Linked DNA regions of Saccharomyces cerevisiae S288C. The gene in region 1 interacts genetically with each later gene. Each region holds a gene or a part of one and is shown on either strand. Other genes may lie near its edges. The genes, in order: YUR1, SRO7, CNB1 and KRE1.

Evidence for each region.
Region 2: mutations in YUR1 (region 1) and SRO7 together harm fitness more than expected from each alone (negative genetic interaction), as found in Saccharomyces cerevisiae (3 studies listed by BioGRID).
Region 3: mutations in YUR1 (region 1) and CNB1 together harm fitness more than expected from each alone (negative genetic interaction), as found in Saccharomyces cerevisiae (3 studies listed by BioGRID).
Region 4: mutations in YUR1 (region 1) and KRE1 together harm fitness more than expected from each alone (negative genetic interaction), as found in Saccharomyces cerevisiae (5 studies listed by BioGRID, with this or other methods).

The regions. Positions count from the first base shown.
Region 1 is NC_001142.9:149,731-154,754, reverse strand, and holds YUR1 (mannosyltransferase YUR1), read left to right. Parts: upstream 1-1,755; coding exon 1,756-3,042; downstream 3,043-5,024. Other genes in the region: TIF2 (translation initiation factor eIF4A), read left to right, coding at 64-1,251; DNA-directed RNA polymerase II subunit RPB4, read right to left, coding at 3,129-3,794; serine/threonine protein kinase YAK1, read left to right, coding at 4,365-5,024. UniProt on the Saccharomyces cerevisiae protein: Possible glycosyltransferase involved in N-linked glycosylation. Transfers an alpha-D-mannosyl residue from GDP-mannose into lipid-linked oligosaccharide, forming an alpha-(1->2)-D-mannosyl-D-mannose linkage.
Region 2 is NC_001148.4:631,698-638,847, forward strand, and holds SRO7 (Rab GTPase-binding protein SRO7), read left to right. Parts: upstream 1-2,425; coding exon 2,426-5,527; downstream 5,528-7,150. Other genes in the region: NTO1 (Nto1p), read left to right, coding at 1-2,064; HTS1 (histidine--tRNA ligase), read right to left, coding at 5,682-7,150. UniProt on the Saccharomyces cerevisiae protein: Acts as an allosteric regulator of polarized exocytosis by promoting the targeted fusion of vesicles with the plasma membrane.
Region 3 is NC_001143.9:81,436-85,603, forward strand, and holds CNB1 (calcineurin regulatory subunit B), read left to right. Parts: upstream 1-1,511; coding exon 1,512-1,563; intron 1,564-1,639; coding exon 1,640-2,115; downstream 2,116-4,168. Other genes in the region: DPH2 (2-(3-amino-3-carboxypropyl)histidine synthase), read left to right, coding at 1-1,204; HYM1 (Hym1p), read left to right, coding at 3,269-4,168.
Region 4 is NC_001146.8:31,976-36,484, reverse strand, and holds KRE1 (Kre1p), read left to right. Parts: upstream 1-2,249; coding exon 2,250-3,191; downstream 3,192-4,509. Other genes in the region: VNX1 (calcium/hydrogen antiporter), read right to left, coding at 1-1,789; LEM3 (Lem3p), read right to left, coding at 3,297-4,509. UniProt on the Saccharomyces cerevisiae protein: Involved in a late stage of cell wall 1,6-beta-glucan synthesis and assembly.

The DNA.
Region 1 (5,024 bases):
AAAAAAAGGTTCGCTAAACAAAGGACTGGTGTGTACAAGAAACTAATAAATAGTAATTGCAATATGTCTGAAGGTATTACTGATATTGAAGAATCCCAAATTCAAACCAACTATGACAAGGTCGTCTACAAGTTCGATGATATGGAATTGGACGAAAACTTGTTAAGAGGTGTTTTCGGTTACGGTTTCGAAGAACCATCTGCCATTCAACAACGTGCCATCATGCCTATTATTGAAGGTCACGATGTCTTGGCTCAAGCTCAATCTGGTACTGGTAAGACCGGTACTTTCTCCATTGCTGCTTTGCAAAGAATTGACACCTCTGTCAAGGCTCCTCAAGCTTTGATGTTGGCTCCAACTAGAGAATTGGCTTTGCAAATCCAAAAGGTTGTCATGGCTTTGGCTTTCCACATGGACATCAAGGTCCACGCTTGTATCGGTGGTACTTCCTTTGTTGAAGACGCTGAAGGTTTGAGAGATGCTCAAATCGTCGTTGGTACTCCAGGTCGTGTTTTTGACAACATCCAAAGACGTAGATTCAGAACTGACAAGATCAAGATGTTCATCTTAGATGAAGCTGATGAAATGTTGTCTTCTGGTTTCAAGGAACAAATCTACCAAATTTTCACCTTACTTCCACCAACCACTCAAGTTGTTCTATTGTCCGCCACCATGCCAAATGACGTCTTGGAAGTTACCACCAAATTTATGAGAAACCCAGTTAGAATTTTGGTTAAGAAGGATGAATTGACTTTGGAAGGTATCAAACAATTCTACGTTAATGTTGAAGAAGAAGAATACAAATACGAGTGTTTGACCGATTTATACGACTCTATCTCCGTTACTCAAGCTGTCATCTTCTGTAACACCAGAAGAAAGGTCGAAGAATTGACCACTAAGTTAAGAAACGACAAATTTACCGTTTCTGCCATCTATTCTGATTTACCACAACAAGAAAGAGACACCATCATGAAGGAATTCAGAAGTGGTTCTTCCAGAATTTTGATCTCCACTGATTTGTTGGCTAGAGGTATCGATGTCCAACAAGTTTCTTTGGTTATTAACTACGACTTACCAGCTAACAAAGAAAACTATATTCACAGAATCGGTAGAGGTGGTCGTTTCGGTAGAAAGGGTGTTGCCATCAACTTTGTTACTAACGAAGACGTTGGCGCTATGAGAGAACTAGAAAAGTTCTACTCCACTCAAATTGAAGAATTGCCATCCGACATTGCTACCTTGTTGAACTAATCTCTAAGGAGAAGAAATCCATAACTATATTACCTTTATCTTATCTTGACCCCCTATATGATATTATTTTGCCCATATTTGTTTTTATTATTGATTATCCTTTTATTGTCTTTTTGTTAGGGATATTTCATAATAAATATTTGAATATATAATATGTACAATAATTAAATAATTTTCTGATTATTCCTTCAATATTTTGTGTTGAAAATTTGCTTTAAATGTATTCTTTAATTAAATTCTTTATTCGCTATACCTGCCACATAACCACTTTCCCCTTCATTTTCTTCTTTTCTTTGTGTGTGAAGAGTAACTAGCTGTTTTACTGGTCGCTTTGGAAATTTTCTATACATTTTTTTAATAAAGGAAAGTTAAAGACAAAGTACTACGCCTCTTTATTTTTCATCTGCAGAAATAATCTGTCACTGCTTATTCATATCATCTCCAAATCTAATGCTTGGAAGTCGCTATCAAAATTAAAGAAGTTTATCATCAGAAATTGTTAAAATGGCAAAAGGAGGCTCGCTATACATCGTTGGCATATTCTTACCAATATGGACCTTTATGATCTATATTTTTGGCAAAGAGTTATTCCTCATACGAAAATACCAAAAGATTGACAGTACGTATACTGCTCTTTCCCAAAGAGTAAAAGAACAATATGATACAAGTCGAAGAAGAAACTATTTTCCTAAAGTAAAACTTTCCCGCAATAGCTACGACGACTACACTTTAAATTATACCAGACAGAATGATTCTGATTCTTTTCACCTACGAGAAAATGCAACAATTTTAATGCTGGTGAGAAATTCAGAATTAGAAGGGGCATTGGATTCAATGAGATCATTAGAGGACAGATTTAACAACAAGTATCATTATGATTGGACTTTTCTAAATGACGTTCCTTTCGATCAAGACTTCATTGAAGCTACAACATCAATGGCGAGTGGGAAGACCCAATATGCTTTAATACCACCAGAAGATTGGAATCGGCCGCAATGGATTAACGATACACTTTTTGAAGAAAGACTTCGAGTCATGGAGGATGAGGGTGTTTTATATGGGGGATCCAAGTCATATAGAAATATGTGTCGGTTTAATTCTGGTTTTTTTTTCCGGCAGTCAATACTGGACAACTATGATTACTACTTTAGGGTGGAACCCAATGTCAAGTATTATTGCGATTTCCCATATGACCCGTTCAGAGTTATGAGATTGAAGGGCAAAAAATACGGATTTGTCATATCATTATATGAATATGAAGAAACCATACCAACCTTATGGGACGCGGTAGAGGAGTATTTAGTGGCCAGCGAAGAGACCATTTTACGTAAAGAGGACAGTGCCTATGCATTTTTGACCGATTCAGGGCTAGTTGGTAAGCATTATCCCGTTGTTGAAGCAAACTCTGACTACAATTTGTGCCATTTTTGGTCGAATTTTGAGATTGGCGACTTGAATTTCTTCAGAAGTGACGAATATAAGCATTTTTTTGAAACTTTAGATGCCAAGGGCGGATTTTACTACGAAAGGTGGGGTGACGCACCTGTACATTCAATTGGTGTCTCCCTACTGCTGAGACCTGACGAAATCATTCATTTTGACGAACTTGGCTATTTTCACTCACCGTTTGGCACCTGTCCAGCATCTTACGCTGTTAGGCTCGATCAGAGGTGTAGATGCAAAAGCGATGATGAAAGTGTCATAGATATAACCCCACATAGTTGTTTGATGAGATGGTGGAAAAACGGTAGCGGCAAATATTTCTTAAAAGAAGAGCAAGACGAGATTTAAAATCCTGTCCTTTTTCCTGTTAAATAGGCCTAACTTCCACAGGGTGAAAATTCATTACTAGTTACACACACGTATACATACAGTTATTAATAGAGTGTTTCTAGGTTTGACAATTCCTTTAGTATCCTTTCCAACTCATCGTCTGATATTTTATTGTTTAAGCTTGGAATTAAAGTCTTTGCTTCATCAGCTGTGTCACAGGCCAAAGAACCTAGTTGCGCCACTTCAAAAGGATGTAACCCAGTGCTTTTCAGAAGCTGTATAACTGCCCCGACGGTTTCTTGGTCTCTAAATCGGGAGAAATTTGTTAAATACTGCATGGTATTTTTCAAATCTTTATTATTTCCTCCCGTTGTCTGTTCTAACAGAACGTCGATAGACTCCAACTCCTTCTCCCTAGTTTCAGAATGCATAAAATCATCATCATCAGCGTTGACGTCATCTTCATCCAGATCATCATCTTCATCCTCTACTGCCGTAGTTTCATCATTGGCGTTTTCGTGCTTCAAATGCTTCTTCTTGTGTTTTTTTTGCGATCTTTTAAATGCTCTCCTACGTTCTACAAGAGCTTCTTTGATTACTAACCTGGCTTCACTTAGGTTCAAGGCAATCAATTCCTCCTCTTCACCCTGATGATTTATCTGTTTCAGCTGGAATTCCTGGCCCAGTTGTAGAGTAGCTGCATTTTCTTCTTCCTCCACTTTCTTCAATCTTCTCCGTCTTGTTTGAAAGGTTGATGTAGAAACATTCATTTTTCTATATTCTTATATATATATTTTCAATACGGATGAATATTTGTGTACTTTCGCCCTCAAACTCAACTTATTAAGATGCAGCAACCCATTCAAGTCTCTTTCTTTACTTTTGTCTCACCGTTAAGCATGTACGTATGTGTGTAGGTATGTTTAATAGCTACCTTGCAAAAAGTTTGAAGAATGACAATATCACTATTGTCGCGTTGCACGTAAATGACACCTAAAAAGGATTTAGGATTTGGAGAAAAAAACTAAAAAAAATATAAAAGGCCTAATAAAAATATCAAAATAGCGCGATGGCTTTATTAACCCTAACCGCCCCTTCTGAACCATTGCAAGCAATGCCCCCTCCTCAGATTTACCCCTTCTGGGCTGAACAATGAATGAGTCGCAATGCTAAACAGATATAAGGAAACAATTGGTGGGCCATTACTGGGGGTATTACACAAATTTCTCACTATTAGATTTGGGAATATATCGAAAGAAGAATTTTGGTGAAGAGCAACAGCCATTGTGCAAGGGAACATAATTTCGTTATCTTTTTTTCACATGCTAATTTGAGCAATCATGAACTCATCCAATAATAACGACTCGTCCAGCTCCAATAGCAACATGAATAACTCCTTGAGCCCGACCCTTGTGACCCACAGTGATGCTAGTATGGGCTCGGGTAGAGCAAGCCCAGACAATAGCCATATGGGGAGAGGTATATGGAATCCATCGTACGTAAATCAAGGCTCTCAAAGGTCTCCACAGCAGCAGCATCAGAATCATCACCAGCAGCAGCAGCAGCAGCAACAACAACAACAACAGAATTCTCAATTTTGCTTTGTTAACCCTTGGAATGAGGAAAAAGTAACTAATTCTCAACAAAACCTGGTGTATCCCCCTCAATACGATGACTTAAACAGTAACGAAAGTCTAGATGCGTACAGACGACGTAAATCTAGTCTCGTTGTACCTCCAGCCAGGGCACCTGCCCCAAATCCTTTCCAGTACGATAGTTATCCCGCTTACACCAGCTCTAATACGAGTTTGGCAGGAAATAGCAGTGGCCAGTATCCTTCTGGCTATCAACAACAACAACAGCAAGTATACCAGCAGGGCGCTATCCATCCTTCCCAATTTGGATCCAGATTTGTTCCCTCCCTTTATGATCGTCAAGATTTCCAAAGAAGGCAGAGTCTGGCTGCAACTAATTATTCGTCCAATTTTTCTTCCCTAAAT
Region 2 (7,150 bases), on another chromosome or scaffold:
AGTGTCAAAAGCGTACAAACTAAAGAATTGATTTTCAAGGGGAGAGTCACCACTGAACCACTAGTACTGAAGAAGAACGAAGTGGAATTTCAAAAATGTAAAATAACTACGAATGAGTTAAAAGGTAAGAAAAATCCATACTGCGTTAGATTTAATGAGAGCTTTATATCCAGGTACTATCATATAAACAAAGTAAGAAATAGGAAGAGTTATAAACAACAACAAAAAGAATTCGATGGTGTGGAGGCACCCTACTTCACCAAATTCTCTAGTAAAGAAGCCCCGAATATTACTATTTCGACGAGTACAAAGAGTGCAATTCAGAAATTCGCTAGTATTTCACCCAATCTTGTTAATTTCAAGCCTCAGTATGACATGGATGAACAGGATGAATTATATTTGCACTACCTTAATAAGAGGTATTTTAAAGATCAAATGTCTCACGAAATATTTGAAATTTTAATGACTACACTAGAAACTGAATGGTTCCATATTGAAAAACATATACCCTCAACGAATAGTCTGATTGCTAGGCATAATATTCTAAGGGACTGTAAGAATTATGAGCTATATGGTTCTGATGATGGAACAGGTTTATCGATGGACCAGGCGTGTGCAGTTTGTTTAGGCACAGACAGTGACAATCTGAATACAATTGTCTTTTGTGATGGATGCGATATTGCTGTGCATCAAGAATGTTACGGTATAATTTTTATCCCGGAAGGAAAATGGTTATGTAGACGATGTATGATCTCAAAAAATAACTTTGCCACTTGTCTAATGTGTCCAAGTCATACAGGTGCATTCAAACAAACAGACACCGGTTCTTGGGTACATAACATTTGTGCTCTATGGCTTCCAGAGCTATACTTTTCAAACTTACATTATATGGAACCTATAGAAGGCGTTCAAAATGTTAGCGTATCACGATGGAAACTTAACTGCTACATCTGTAAAAAGAAGATGGGTGCTTGCATTCAGTGCTTTCAAAGAAACTGTTTTACAGCATATCATGTCACGTGTGCCCGTCGAGCTGGTCTCTACATGAGTAAAGGGAAATGCACTATTCAAGAATTGGCCTCTAATCAATTCTCCCAAAAGTATTCAGTCGAAAGTTTCTGCCACAAGCATGCACCTAGAGGATGGCAAACGAGTATAGAAGGTATTAATAAAGCTAGAAAATACTTCTCTCTACTCTCTACATTACAAACCGAAACTCCTCAGCATAATGAAGCTAATGATAGGACAAATTCAAAATTCAACAAAACAATTTGGAAAACACCTAATCAAACGCCGGTAGCACCACATGTTTTTGCTGAAATATTGCAAAAGGTCGTTGATTTTTTTGGCTTAGCTAACCCACCAGCAGGCGCATTTGATATTTGCAAATATTGGTCAATGAAAAGGGAGCTTACAGGAGGTACCCCATTAACTGCCTGTTTTGAAAATAATTCATTGGGGTCCTTAACCGAGGAACAAGTGCAAACAAGAATAGATTTTGCCAATGATCAGCTCGAAGACTTGTACCGGCTCAAAGAGCTGACTACTTTGGTGAAAAAGAGAACACAAGCTTCAAACAGCTTGTCCAGATCCCGAAAGAAGGTTTTTGATATAGTTAAATCGCCCCAAAAATATCTTTTAAAAATCAATGTACTGGATATCTTTATAAAATCTGAACAATTCAAGGCTCTTGAAAGATTGGTTACTGAACCTAAATTATTGGTTATTTTAGAAAAGTGTAAACATTGTGATTTTGATACTGTCCAAATTTTTAAGGAGGAAATTATGCATTTTTTTGAGGTTTTGGAAACTCTACCCGGTGCATCAAGAATACTCCAAACTGTCTCATCAAAGGCAAAAGAGCAAGTAACAAATTTAATTGGGCTCATAGAACATGTAGATATTAAGAAGTTGCTATCCAGAGATTTTATAATAAATGATGACAAGATAGAAGAAAGACCATGGAGTGGCCCGGTGATTATGGAAGAAGAAGGTTTAAGCGATGCAGAAGAACTGAGTGCAGGGGAACACCGTATGCTGAAGCTAATCCTTAACAGCGGATAAAATAAAGGTTTTAATATTGCATTATGTATAATGAGTATGTATTTTTATGCTATTCTTGTAAAAGTTTGGCTTATTATTTACTTTCATGGAACACTTAGTAAAAATAACTTAGAAAGGTCGTCTTTTCTTTATTCTTTAGCATTTCAATACCGAACTAAATATCCGTTTTTATAGTTTAGTTGGTTTTGTTTAATTTCTAGAATCCTGTTCGGCGCTTTTGTTAAAAGTAAAAAATGAAAATTCAAACGAAATGAACCTAATCACGTTAGAATTTAAATCTTGGAATATGTTAAATATAAAACAAGAAGAGCAAGCAATACTATTTCTGACTAATTCTCTATACACATAAGAGCAAAACAAAATGTTCGGTAGCAAACGTCTGAAAAATGTTAAGGAAGCATTTAAGTCCCTAAAAGGCCAAAATTCAGAGACACCCATTGAGAACTCAAAGGCGTCTTTTAAATCCAAAAATTCAAAGACATCTACTATTTCCAAAGATGCGAAATCTTCCTCTTCTTTGAAGATTCCTATAAGTTCAAATAACAAAAATAAAATTTTTTCACTAGCAGAAACCAACAAATATGGGATGAGCAGTAAACCGATCGCAGCCGCTTTCGATTTCACCCAAAATTTATTGGCAATTGCTACAGTCACAGGGGAAGTCCATATTTATGGCCAGCAACAAGTGGAAGTGGTTATAAAACTGGAGGATAGATCTGCTATAAAAGAAATGAGATTTGTGAAAGGTATCTATTTGGTGGTCATTAACGCAAAAGATACTGTGTATGTTTTATCGTTATATTCTCAAAAAGTACTTACAACAGTGTTTGTTCCGGGGAAAATAACATCAATTGACACAGATGCATCCTTAGACTGGATGCTAATCGGCCTTCAAAATGGTTCAATGATAGTTTACGACATAGATAGGGATCAACTTTCCTCCTTCAAATTAGACAACCTACAAAAAAGCTCATTTTTTCCGGCTGCAAGACTATCACCTATAGTATCCATTCAGTGGAACCCTAGAGATATTGGAACTGTTTTAATATCATATGAGTATGTAACTCTAACATACTCATTGGTTGAGAACGAAATCAAACAATCCTTCATATACGAATTACCACCTTTTGCTCCAGGAGGCGACTTCTCAGAAAAAACCAATGAAAAGAGAACTCCCAAAGTTATTCAGTCCTTATATCACCCTAATTCACTGCACATTATCACTATTCATGAAGACAATTCCTTGGTTTTCTGGGATGCTAATTCAGGCCATATGATCATGGCAAGGACAGTGTTTGAGACAGAAATCAATGTTCCACAACCTGATTACATACGCGATTCTAGTACTAATGCTGCCAAAATTTCGAAAGTGTATTGGATGTGTGAAAACAATCCAGAATATACTTCACTACTCATCTCTCATAAGTCAATCAGCAGAGGAGATAATCAAAGTCTCACTATGATCGACCTCGGTTACACACCTAGATATTCAATAACCTCTTATGAAGGTATGAAGAACTACTATGCAAATCCGAAACAAATGAAGATATTTCCCTTACCAACCAATGTGCCAATAGTGAATATACTACCAATTCCAAGACAGTCCCCGTATTTTGCAGGATGTCATAATCCGGGGTTAATTTTGTTAATCCTAGGTAACGGTGAGATAGAAACAATGCTATATCCTTCTGGAATATTTACAGATAAAGCCTCTTTATTCCCTCAAAATCTTTCCTGGCTGAGACCATTAGCCACGACTTCAATGGCCGCTTCTGTACCAAACAAATTATGGCTTGGTGCGCTTTCTGCAGCTCAAAACAAGGATTATTTGTTGAAGGGAGGGGTTAGAACAAAAAGGCAAAAACTTCCCGCTGAGTACGGTACAGCATTCATTACCGGCCATTCTAATGGCTCAGTTAGGATATACGATGCTTCCCATGGGGATATACAAGATAATGCTAGCTTTGAAGTGAATCTATCAAGAACGTTGAACAAGGCCAAAGAACTAGCAGTTGATAAGATATCTTTTGCCGCAGAGACTCTCGAGTTGGCGGTGTCAATTGAAACAGGAGACGTTGTTTTATTCAAATATGAAGTAAACCAGTTTTACAGTGTTGAGAACAGACCAGAAAGCGGTGACCTGGAGATGAATTTCAGGCGGTTTTCTTTGAATAATACGAATGGTGTTCTCGTCGATGTGAGAGACAGGGCACCTACCGGTGTTAGGCAGGGATTTATGCCATCAACTGCCGTGCATGCCAACAAAGGGAAAACATCTGCAATCAACAACAGTAATATTGGATTTGTTGGAATCGCATATGCTGCCGGAAGCCTTATGTTGATCGATAGAAGAGGTCCTGCAATCATTTACATGGAAAACATTAGAGAAATCTCGGGAGCTCAAAGCGCATGTGTTACCTGCATCGAATTCGTAATTATGGAGTATGGAGACGATGGTTACTCTAGTATATTGATGGTCTGTGGTACTGATATGGGCGAGGTAATCACATACAAAATTCTTCCTGCATCAGGTGGAAAGTTCGATGTGCAACTAATGGATATTACTAATGTTACCAGTAAGGGTCCGATACACAAAATTGATGCATTTTCAAAGGAAACAAAATCTAGCTGCTTGGCAACTATTCCAAAAATGCAGAATTTAAGTAAAGGCCTTTGCATTCCTGGTATTGTATTAATAACTGGATTCGATGATATCAGATTAATAACACTGGGCAAATCTAAAAGTACACATAAAGGTTTCAAATACCCGCTTGCCGCGACAGGTTTATCTTACATCTCAACCGTTGAGAAAAATAATGATAGGAAGAACCTAACCGTAATAATTACATTAGAAATCAATGGCCATCTAAGAGTTTTTACTATTCCAGATTTCAAAGAACAAATGTCTGAACATATTCCATTTCCAATTGCCGCAAAATACATTACAGAATCATCTGTTTTAAGAAATGGTGATATAGCGATTCGAGTGAGTGAATTTCAGGCGTCACTATTTTCTACTGTCAAGGAACAGGATACGCTAGCGCCAGTTTCTGACACACTGTACATCAATGGAATCAGGATTCCCTATAGGCCACAAGTAAATTCATTACAGTGGGCAAGAGGCACTGTATATTGTACTCCCGCTCAATTAAATGAATTATTGGGTGGCGTGAATAGACCTGCATCCAAATACAAAGAGAGCATCATTGCTGAGGGAAGTTTCTCGGAGCGTTCTTCAGACGATAATAATGCGAACCATCCGGAACACCAGTATACCAAGCCCACCCGTAAGGGCAGGAACAGTAGTTACGGGGTACTAAGAAATGTTTCTCGAGCTGTAGAAACTAGATGGGACGCCGTTGAAGATAGATTCAACGACTATGCTACCGCCATGGGAGAAACAATGAACGAGGCTGTTGAGCAGACTGGAAAAGATGTAATGAAAGGTGCCCTTGGTTTTTAAATACATACACTAATTCATACAGGGTAATGAGCAACTTCCTTCTATACTTATTTTTTTTTAGTTCTATATGCTTTATAAATTAATTTGAATCGATTTATTTTTCATTATACATGTCTAGTTTTACGAAGGTTTGTAAATACATGAGCTATCAAGTTTATAATCCTTTAATTAAACGAGTGACCTCATTTAGACCATCTTCATGAATTTGTGATAACTTTTCTTGAACAATAGGAACAATGTCAGCCGCACTAACCAATTCACCATCATCATCGGCAAATTCTTGGCCCAATCTTTTGACACGTAATTTACCTTCTAAGTACTCCTCCTTACCGAGGATTACGGCAATGTGACAACCCGCTTTTTCAGCAGCATCGAATTGCTTCCTAGGATTAGCCTTGGCCTTATAGACATATTCAGCTTCAATGCCAGCATCCCATAATTGCTTAGTAACCTTCATTCTTTCGGGTAAATAACCAGTCCAGTCCTTACCACCACCAAAAGCCATAACGAACACCTGTGTAGCCGTTGGCTTTATAGTTGTAGAGGAATTAATTCTTTGTTTGATCAAAGAAAATATTCTTTCAACACCAAATGAAATACCAACACATGGAATTTGAGTAGATTTTTTGCCGGAAGCTTCAGAGAACATGTTGACCAAATTATCATATCGACCACCGGCTGCAATAGAGCCGACACCAACGAATTCTGACGCGTCTTCTGCAGATTTGGCCTTCTTCTTCAATTCTGAAGCATTCTCTGGTGGAGCAGATGCAGAAGTAACAACTTCATAGATCAAACCTGTATAGTAATCCAAACCTCTTGCAAGAGAAAGATCAAAAGAGATGAATGAGTCAATGTCAAATGCTTCGGTATACTTCATCAAAGTAGCAATATCATCCAAACCTTGTTTAGCCTTTTCGTTTGAAGTAATGTTGGCATCTGCGGATAGAACAGCGTGAATTTCCTTCAAAGAACCATTTAATTTAACATACTCACCGATTTTATCAGCAGTTTCTTCGGATTGACCTTTTTCTTCGGTCATTTCCTTCTTGACTGCTTCCCATGGAGATTTGTCCAACTTATCGACAGCAGAAGAGATTTTCCTCACATCCTCATCTTTAACACCAGCGATTTGGAAGATCCCATCAAGAATCTTCCTGTGATTCAATTTGATTTTGAAATCTTTGATTCCCAAACTGGTCAAACCTTCCACTAAAATGGACAAACATTCGGAATCAGGAACCATAGATTCGAATGTGCCTGCAACGTCAAAATCACACTGGTAAAATTCTCTCATACGACCCTTAGTCATGGCTGGTTGGTCTCTTCTGTAGACTTTTGCAATGTGATACCTCTTGATACTCTGAATATTGTTCATGGCAACGTACCTGGCAAAAGGAACGGTCAAATCGTAACGTAAAGAACATAATTCACCACCCTGGTCCTCCAAGTTGTAGATCAGTTTGGAGTCCTCACCATACTTGCCTGCTAAAATTTCTCTTAACTCGAAAACAGGTGTGTCGATAGTGACACCACCATGCTTCTTGAATAGGCCAGATAAAGTGCTAAAAATGGCTTCTCTGATAACCATATCACTATCAGCCCAATCCTTCGTACCCTTAG
Region 3 (4,168 bases), on another chromosome or scaffold:
CTTGCCCGTGGTTTACTCATTCGGAACTCCATTTTTGGATTTGGCACTGGTGGTGGAGAACTTTCAGAGGGCATTCCCAGACTTATCCTCCAAAATTTGTTTGATGGCAAACGCACCCTTCTCTAAGCATTTGTCACAGCTGTACAATATTTTGAAGGGCGACCTGCACTACACAAATATCATATATTCCCAAGTGAACACCTCTGCGGTAGAAGAAAAATTCGTAACCATACTTGACACCTTTCACGTTCCCGAAGACGTAGACCAGGTGGGTGTGTTCGAAAAAAATAGCGTGCTGTTTGGTCAGCACGACAAAGCAGACAACATCTCGCCCGAGGACTATCATCTTTTCCATTTGACCACCCCACAGGATCCGAGATTACTGTATTTGTCTACTGTGTTTCAATCTGTTCATATTTTCGATCCGGCTTTACCTGGCATGGTAACGGGGCCATTTCCCTCTCTAATGAGGCGTTACAAGTACATGCATGTGGCAAGAACAGCGGGATGTATAGGTATTCTGGTCAACACGCTGTCGCTACGTAATACAAGAGAAACTATCAACGAGCTGGTCAAGCTTATCAAAACTCGTGAGAAAAAACACTATTTATTTGTTGTCGGAAAGCCAAATGTGGCCAAGCTAGCAAACTTTGAAGATATTGATATTTGGTGCATTCTCGGTTGTAGCCAAAGCGGTATCATCGTTGATCAATTCAACGAGTTTTACAAGCCCATTATTACACCTTATGAATTAAACTTGGCCTTGAGCGAAGAGGTCACATGGACCGGGAAATGGGTTGTGGACTTCAGAGACGCCATTGATGAAATCGAGCAGAATTTGGGCGGACAAGATACCATCTCTGCCAGCACAACTTCCGATGAACCGGAGTTTGATGTAGTTAGGGGAAGATATACTAGCACATCAAGACCACTGCGAGCGCTAACGCACCTGGAGTTAGAGGCGGCCGACGACGACGATTCCAAACAACTGACTACAAGACATACCGCCTCAGGTGCCGTCATTAAAGGTACTGTATCCACTTCAGCATCAGCACTGCAGAATCGTTCGTGGAAAGGTCTAGGAAGCGATTTCGACTCTACTGAGGTTGATAATACTGGAGCGGATATCGAAGAAGGTATTTCCGGTGTCGCACGTGGTTATGGATTTGATCGCGAAGACGCTATGAAAAAGGAAAACAAATGACTCTTATAATTTGTTTCCCTCGACTTCTCTATTTAAATCCAAGATTTTAACTAATAAACTATTTAATAATAAAACAATTAACTCTTTATATGGAAGCCTTGGAAATTAGCCGCCAAAATGGGATATACATTCCGTGCGAAGTGACCGCGTGGAAGGCCGGGTATCATCTTAAAAATCACTAGTTTCTTTTTTAGCGGAATGCAATAAAGGTGCTTTGTGCTGGTGTGGTTTACACGGAACATCTAGTAGCTAAAACTTGGTAACTCAATGGTGATCAGAATCCATAGAAGCATTTTTATTTCTTAAAATGGGTGCTGCTCCTTCCAAAATTGTGGATGGTCTTTTAGAAGATACAAATTGTATGTACACTTCGGAGTGAGGAAAAGAAAGAAAGGGGAAATTAACCGATTTTACTAACACTGACACTTTGAACAGTTGATAGAGATGAAATTGAAAGGTTAAGGAAGAGATTCATGAAATTAGATAGAGATAGCTCAGGGTCTATTGATAAAAATGAATTTATGAGCATTCCTGGCGTTTCGTCAAACCCTCTTGCTGGACGTATAATGGAGGTTTTCGATGCTGATAATAGTGGGGACGTGGATTTTCAAGAGTTCATCACAGGATTATCCATTTTCAGTGGGCGTGGGTCCAAGGACGAAAAGTTAAGATTCGCCTTCAAAATCTACGACATTGACAAGGACGGTTTCATATCCAATGGTGAGTTGTTCATCGTGTTGAAGATTATGGTAGGTTCTAATCTGGACGATGAACAGCTGCAACAGATAGTAGATAGGACGATAGTGGAAAACGATAGCGACGGCGACGGACGTTTAAGTTTCGAGGAGTTTAAGAATGCTATCGAAACCACAGAAGTGGCCAAGAGTCTGACATTGCAATACGATGTGTAAGACTAGGGGACACTTCATTCATTTATGGTATGCCAATATTTTTAAGAAAAGAAGAATAATACGCGATATTGTTTTTTAAGGAAGGAACGCACACTCGCCCAGTTAGAGTGCTGATGATATATACATATATATATGTATATGTAACAAACAATAAGAAAGCAATGATACAACATAGAGATGAGAGAGAGCATATATGTCAGCGACGAGATATACCAAGATGGAAGCTGATCTCATGTAATAACTGCGGGGTGTACTTTGATAATTTTTGGGATTCCATTGTTATTAATAGCTTTGATATCAGACATACAGAATACCAGAGATTTTCCTCAAAAATATGGCAATGCACAAAGGGGGATCAATAGTTATATAAATTAAGATTATTACTTCTTCTTTGTTTTATGTGTTGTTATTCACTATCCCACTGCATTATCAATCCTTACATATCAGCTTCCGTTAAACCCGATGACTATCTCTCAATCATCATACTATCTTCTTACACCGTATATGATAATTACCAGCAATACTAATGCTAGGAGACAGACCATCTTTGATTCCTATTCCAATAAAGTTAAACTGTGATATTGGTTTATTGGATAAGTTCATATCCTAAAACGTGTTGACAACACTTCGGGAGTTTCCAGTAAGTAAAATTTGTATGGAGGGTTGGCCGAGTGGTCTAAGGCGGCAGACTTAAGATCTGTTGGACGGTTGTCCGCGCGAGTTCGAACCTCGCATCCTTCAGTAATTTTTTTTTTTAATTTATTTTTGTGTTGCAAGCGTTGATCCTTTCCATTATGCAGCCATAAGAGGAGGCTGGATATGAATTATTTATTACCAATATAAGGAGCATGTACCGTTGATTTTGAAGAGCCAATTGCTCCAAATTTTGGATTTTGTGTTCGAAAAAGGGAAGATTGCTCCAAACGCAAATAAGGAGGAAACCCGCTGATTGCACTCTTGGAAAAATAAAAATAAAAAGTGGTCTCAGAATTGTTTCAAAAGTGGCACTGACACAATATTTACAGGCGTTGATAGCTTCTTGTTTTAACAATACGATTTAATCTCGGAGTAGTTAAGCCAAAGAATACGTGTTATCCGTAAGAGGCTTATTGCACGTAATCCCCAGTATAAATTATCCGCAAATCGAAGACAAATGTTTAAGAAATACAAAAATCAAGACTTGGACATGGCATTTTGGTGGAAGAAAAACCCCAAGACCCCTTCCGATTATGCCAGGTTGATCATCGAACAACTAAATAAATTCAGCTCACCCTCGCTGACTCAGGATAACAAACGAAAGGTACAAGAAGAGTGCACAAAATATCTAATTGGCACTAAACATTTTATTGTCGGTGATACGGATCCTCACCCAACTCCGGAAGCCATTGACGAGCTTTATACTGCCATGCATCGTGCCGACGTGTTCTATGAACTGCTACTTCATTTTGTGGATTTGGAATTCGAAGCAAGGAGAGAATGCATGCTTATATTCTCTATATGCCTTGGATACTCTAAGGATAATAAATTCGTCACAGTAGATTATTTAGTCTCGCAACCAAAGACCATATCTTTAATGTTGAGGACTGCGGAAGTTGCTCTACAACAAAAGGGTTGCCAAGATATCTTTTTAACGGTAGGGAATATGATTATTGAATGTATCAAATACGAACAACTTTGTAGGATTATATTAAAGGACCCTCAACTATGGAAATTCTTTGAGTTTGCGAAACTGGGTAATTTCGAAATCAGTACGGAATCTTTACAAATATTAAGTGCCGCATTTACTGCACATCCTAAATTAGTGTCTAAGGAATTCTTCAGTAATGAGATTAATATCATAAGATTCATTAAATGTATTAACAAGTTAATGGCTCATGGAAGCTACGTAACGAAAAGGCAGAGCACTAAACTGTTGGCCTCATTAATTGTGATAAGATCTAACAACGCGTTGATGAATATATATATCAACTCCCCAGAAAACTTAAAGCTCATAATGACTTTAATGACTGACAAATCTAAAAACTTACAACTTGAAGCTTTCAACGTATTCAAG
Region 4 (4,509 bases), on another chromosome or scaffold:
AACCAATCATGGATCCTTCCACTAGAAGACCCTTTTTTTGTTGCAATGCAACGCAGTACAAGAAAATTTCCACAATGGTCGAGAAAAATGCATTAATGACAGCACCGACACCCATGGAAGTTTGAGCAGAGATCGATGCGACTGCTTGTCCAATGTAAAATGCTAGTGGGATGGTGGATGTCAAACAAAGAATGAATATTGAGGATTCGTATGTGAACCACGTTTTCCAATGCAGGAAATTTTTCAAAACATAAAAGTCAAAAATTGTAAAGAAAACGATGGATATTAAATTCACAACAATAACATTTGTACCATCAACTGTGTACTTGTAGTAATGCCAGCCAGCGGCACGGAACGTACATAAGAGGATATTTTTGTTCAATTGCTGCTGGGTTATTTCATTTTCGTGCGATTGGGAGGAGTTCTCGACATATTTGAAGCCTAATGCAAGCGGATGTCTTCTGCAATGATACATAATTTGCCAAAGAACATTACTCATGGGAATGGTAAACACCAGGAGCCAGAGGCAAAGAGATAAGACGGCAAGGATGGGTTGCAAGACGAGATGGAAGATTGTATAGAAAAGAACACGACCCCAGCTCCATTTTCCTCTCCCAAAGTACCGTCTTTGAGCCGCTGCGTGCGGAATTTCGTGTCTAATAGAATTATATGATGGATGGTTCGAGTTAAGCGGTGTTGCTGTTGTGTTAGCGGGCGGCATCAAAGACGAAGATTCCGTTGCAGGGGCCGGATGGTCCTCTCTTTGCTGAAACTTGGCCTGAGACTGGTGGAAGACCAGCCTGTTGGAGTATGAAGTCACCCAATTGTAGAATTGCTGCATACTAATACCTTCATCCTTATCTTCTTGTAAATATTGCTCGTCCTGCAACAAGTATACCATTTTGCCAAAAGGCCAAAGGAAATAATTGGCGAGTTTATACAGACACTTGGAGTACTCCTTCGCAGAGTTCGTTACCAGTCCTCCGCCGCCTAGTAAAAATACCACAATAGCCGCCGAGTAGAAGAGTATCGCAATGGGGAAACCGAACAAAATAAACCATAGCACATTGGAACAAGTCACCTCCCAGGTAATAGTCTTCAACTGAGTCTCGTGAATGTCTTGCGCCGCGGTTCTTTGAACTGAACGGTGTTTCTTATATAAAGCAGGCTTCCATATCCTGATACCGAAGGGGTGGGTCTCGTTGATGGCGTCCTGTCTTTCTCGTAAAGTGAATGACTCTGTGGACGAAGCATTAGACGCCTGGTCATTGTTTTCCAAGTGTGAAGGCGACTGGCAATTGATCTCGTCTATAAGTAAATCATGGCCGTGCGAGTCGTGTATAATGAACCGACTGTCATCATTGGCGTCCTCGTCATCATTGTCATCATGAGGTAATTCCCGGATAGATGAATGCATTCGTTTCGGAGAGCTGGGAGTAGCTGTATTTAAGTCTGGCACAGAGTGCGACTTGGAGGATAGCGACTCTAGTGTGGGCGGCAAGTGTTGTTGGTGCTCGTGGTGGTGCAGCGTGTTGTTGCTGCTATGTACGATTGGTGATTGCGAGCTTACAGATCGCTTGGATTTATTGGCATGCAGGGCGAACTTCAACCCTTCATGCAGACCCTCAAGATACCTGATATCGTTTTGGATCTCCTTTGGATCATCGTCCACGCTAAATATTCTATGAGGAGTCGAGGCAGATGTAGTTGGGGTCAGAACCTCCTCTTTAAGACGATGGTCTCCAGAGGTACTGTTACCACTGGCAGAAATGTGGTTATTTTTGGCCATTGCTGCTTACCGCTCTTCTAGCTAGCAGTTATTTCACTTTCATTTACAGCATCCCTCATGTTTATTATCTTCTTTATCTAATATAAATTAGGAACTAAATAATCCCCTCACCGTATAAAGCGACAGTTCCGTGACGGTTACTATTATGAATATCTCAACGGAAAGAGGGCATTAAAAGATCATAATAGTTGGTACTCTCGTATTTTATATATATATATCACTATATTTTAACACTTTTACTGCTCAATTGTGCCATATACTTCGCCTTATTGCGTACATTCTTCACCTTGTATCCCCCTACCTCAGCGTGTATGGTGATATCGCGTTTTTTCATAAACTGAGAATGGGGCTTTTTCTATAACGTGTATTATGAAAAAAAGAAAATAAAAATCAAGAATTAAGCACTTGTATATGCTACAGTAAAGACCTCTTCAACTTCTGCAAGACAATCAAAAAAAAAATGATGCGTCGCACGCTATTACATTCATTCGCTACGCTGCTACTTTCTTTGTCGTTGTGGTCAGCTGCGGTCATGGCAGCTGTGACAACTCAGGTTACAGTGGTAACAAATGTCGCAGGGGCCCTGGTTACGGAGACCACAATATGGGACCCTGCCACCGCTGCTGCTGCTGCTACAACTACCGCTCAAACAGGTTTCTTCACTACGGTATTCACTACCACTAACGATGTCGGAACCACCGTCACTCTTACTCAGACAGTCAACAGAGCCACTATGCTACCAACCACGACGACTTCTACCTCATCTACTGGTAAGACAACCACCACTGTTCCTACCGCAACTTCATCGTTGTCTTCGGGACTGTATTTATCTACAGTTACCACGACAAACGATTTGGGTACCACAGTTACATTGACTCAAACGTTCACACATTCTAGCACCAGTGCTACTTCATCCGCCTCCTCGTCTGTGTCCTCGTCTGTATCTTCGTCTGGTTCATCCTCCAGTGTAAAGACGACCACATCGACAGGGAGCGCAGTAGCTGAAACAGGCACCAGGCCAGACCCCTCCACAGACTTCACAGAACCTCCTGTGTCTGCTGTCACTAGTCTATCTATTGACTCATACATTACCATCACTGAAGGTACAACCTCCACTTACACAACCACACGTGCGCCAACGTCCATGTGGGTCACTGTTGTTAGACAGGGCAACACTATCACTGTGCAAACTACTTTTGTCCAGCGTTTCTCCTCCCAGTACGTAACAGTCGCTTCTCCCTCCGTGGGGTCTATTGGGATGGGTACTTTAACCGGTACTGTAGGCGTTATTAAATCTGCAATAAAGAAAACAGTTTCGCATAATGAGGCCCAGCATCTAGGTATGAGTTCGTTTACTTCAATTTTGGGTGGGCTATTAACGGTTTTAATTTGGTTCTTATAAATTTTTATTCAGAAATAAACACAAACATATACATATATAAGAGTAAAAATAAAAAAATAAAAAAATTTTACAGGGTTAAAAATAAAGAAAACCATCACTCCTTTTCTATTTCATATTCCATGACAAACTTGATGCATCAGCAATCTTTCTACCGCCGAAGAGCCAAAACGTTAATAATATCAATGCCATGGCAGCACAAATACAGCCTCCAATCAGGTAAACTATACCTAAAAATGGATTTCTACCGCCAAGGTGAGAACCGTGAGTCAAGTAGATTCCCTTCTTACCATTAAACTCCAATACTGGCCAATGCAGACCGATATCCAACTGGTATTCACCCGCTGGCAAAGTATCGTTTTTATTGATTCTGATCAGTTTTGTAATTTTATCAAAAGCACCTGGCCTCATCCAGTTTTGGAACTCTTCCCAATCCTGAATATCAGGAATATTCGTCTCGTTGTATCCATCTGGATACATCTTTTCCCAATATGGTGGAGGTGCTATCTGTGTATAATTGTATTTGGTTTTTTTGTACCTTTTTTTATCAGATTCCCAATTGATTCCTTTATTTGTCAATGAATAGTTGTTAGACGTATCCCCTACATTTGTTAACTGCAGGGGGAACGTGTCGTTGAACATTGAGTTCGCAATTAGGCCACATGGATAGTATATTTTACCATCGGCGTTCTTAGATAGTGGCTTACAATTTATACCGGTTGCATCATGCACCGTCTCATAAGAGGCGTCCTCCCCACGTATCTGATCTTCGCTAAAAGATAGTACATATCTTCTGTGATTGGCAGCAAATTTTTCCAGCACATAATTCAAATATACGTTATTTTTCATATCACTTGGAGTAGTGAACCTGATTTGGCATGTACCTCTTTGTTTTGTGAAGTCATCTGATTCATCATCCACAAACCTCCATTGTGGTGCAGTATTATATGTTTTATATTTGTGAAATACAAATTGCCAATGTTCAGAAGGGATGTCGCTCCATGATGAGGTTGCGTTAGTCATACAGTCCTGGTAATATATGGTTACTTCATCCACTTTGGAGTTCTGTGCTAATATGCACCCTCCTACAATAACAAATACAACAGCAATTAACAGATAAAGAGGCAAAACTGTCCTCGGCGTTAACACCGGGTTTATAGCCGCTAATCTTTGTTGAGTGAATGCATCCTCTTTGGGTCTTCTGTTCTTTGTACGCACAGGCTTTACTTCATCCTCTTCAAACTCAGAAGCATCGACGTCTTCTTCTTCTTCTGGGTTGTCTCCGGACACTATAGCTCCTTTGTCCTTTCTACGGAATACT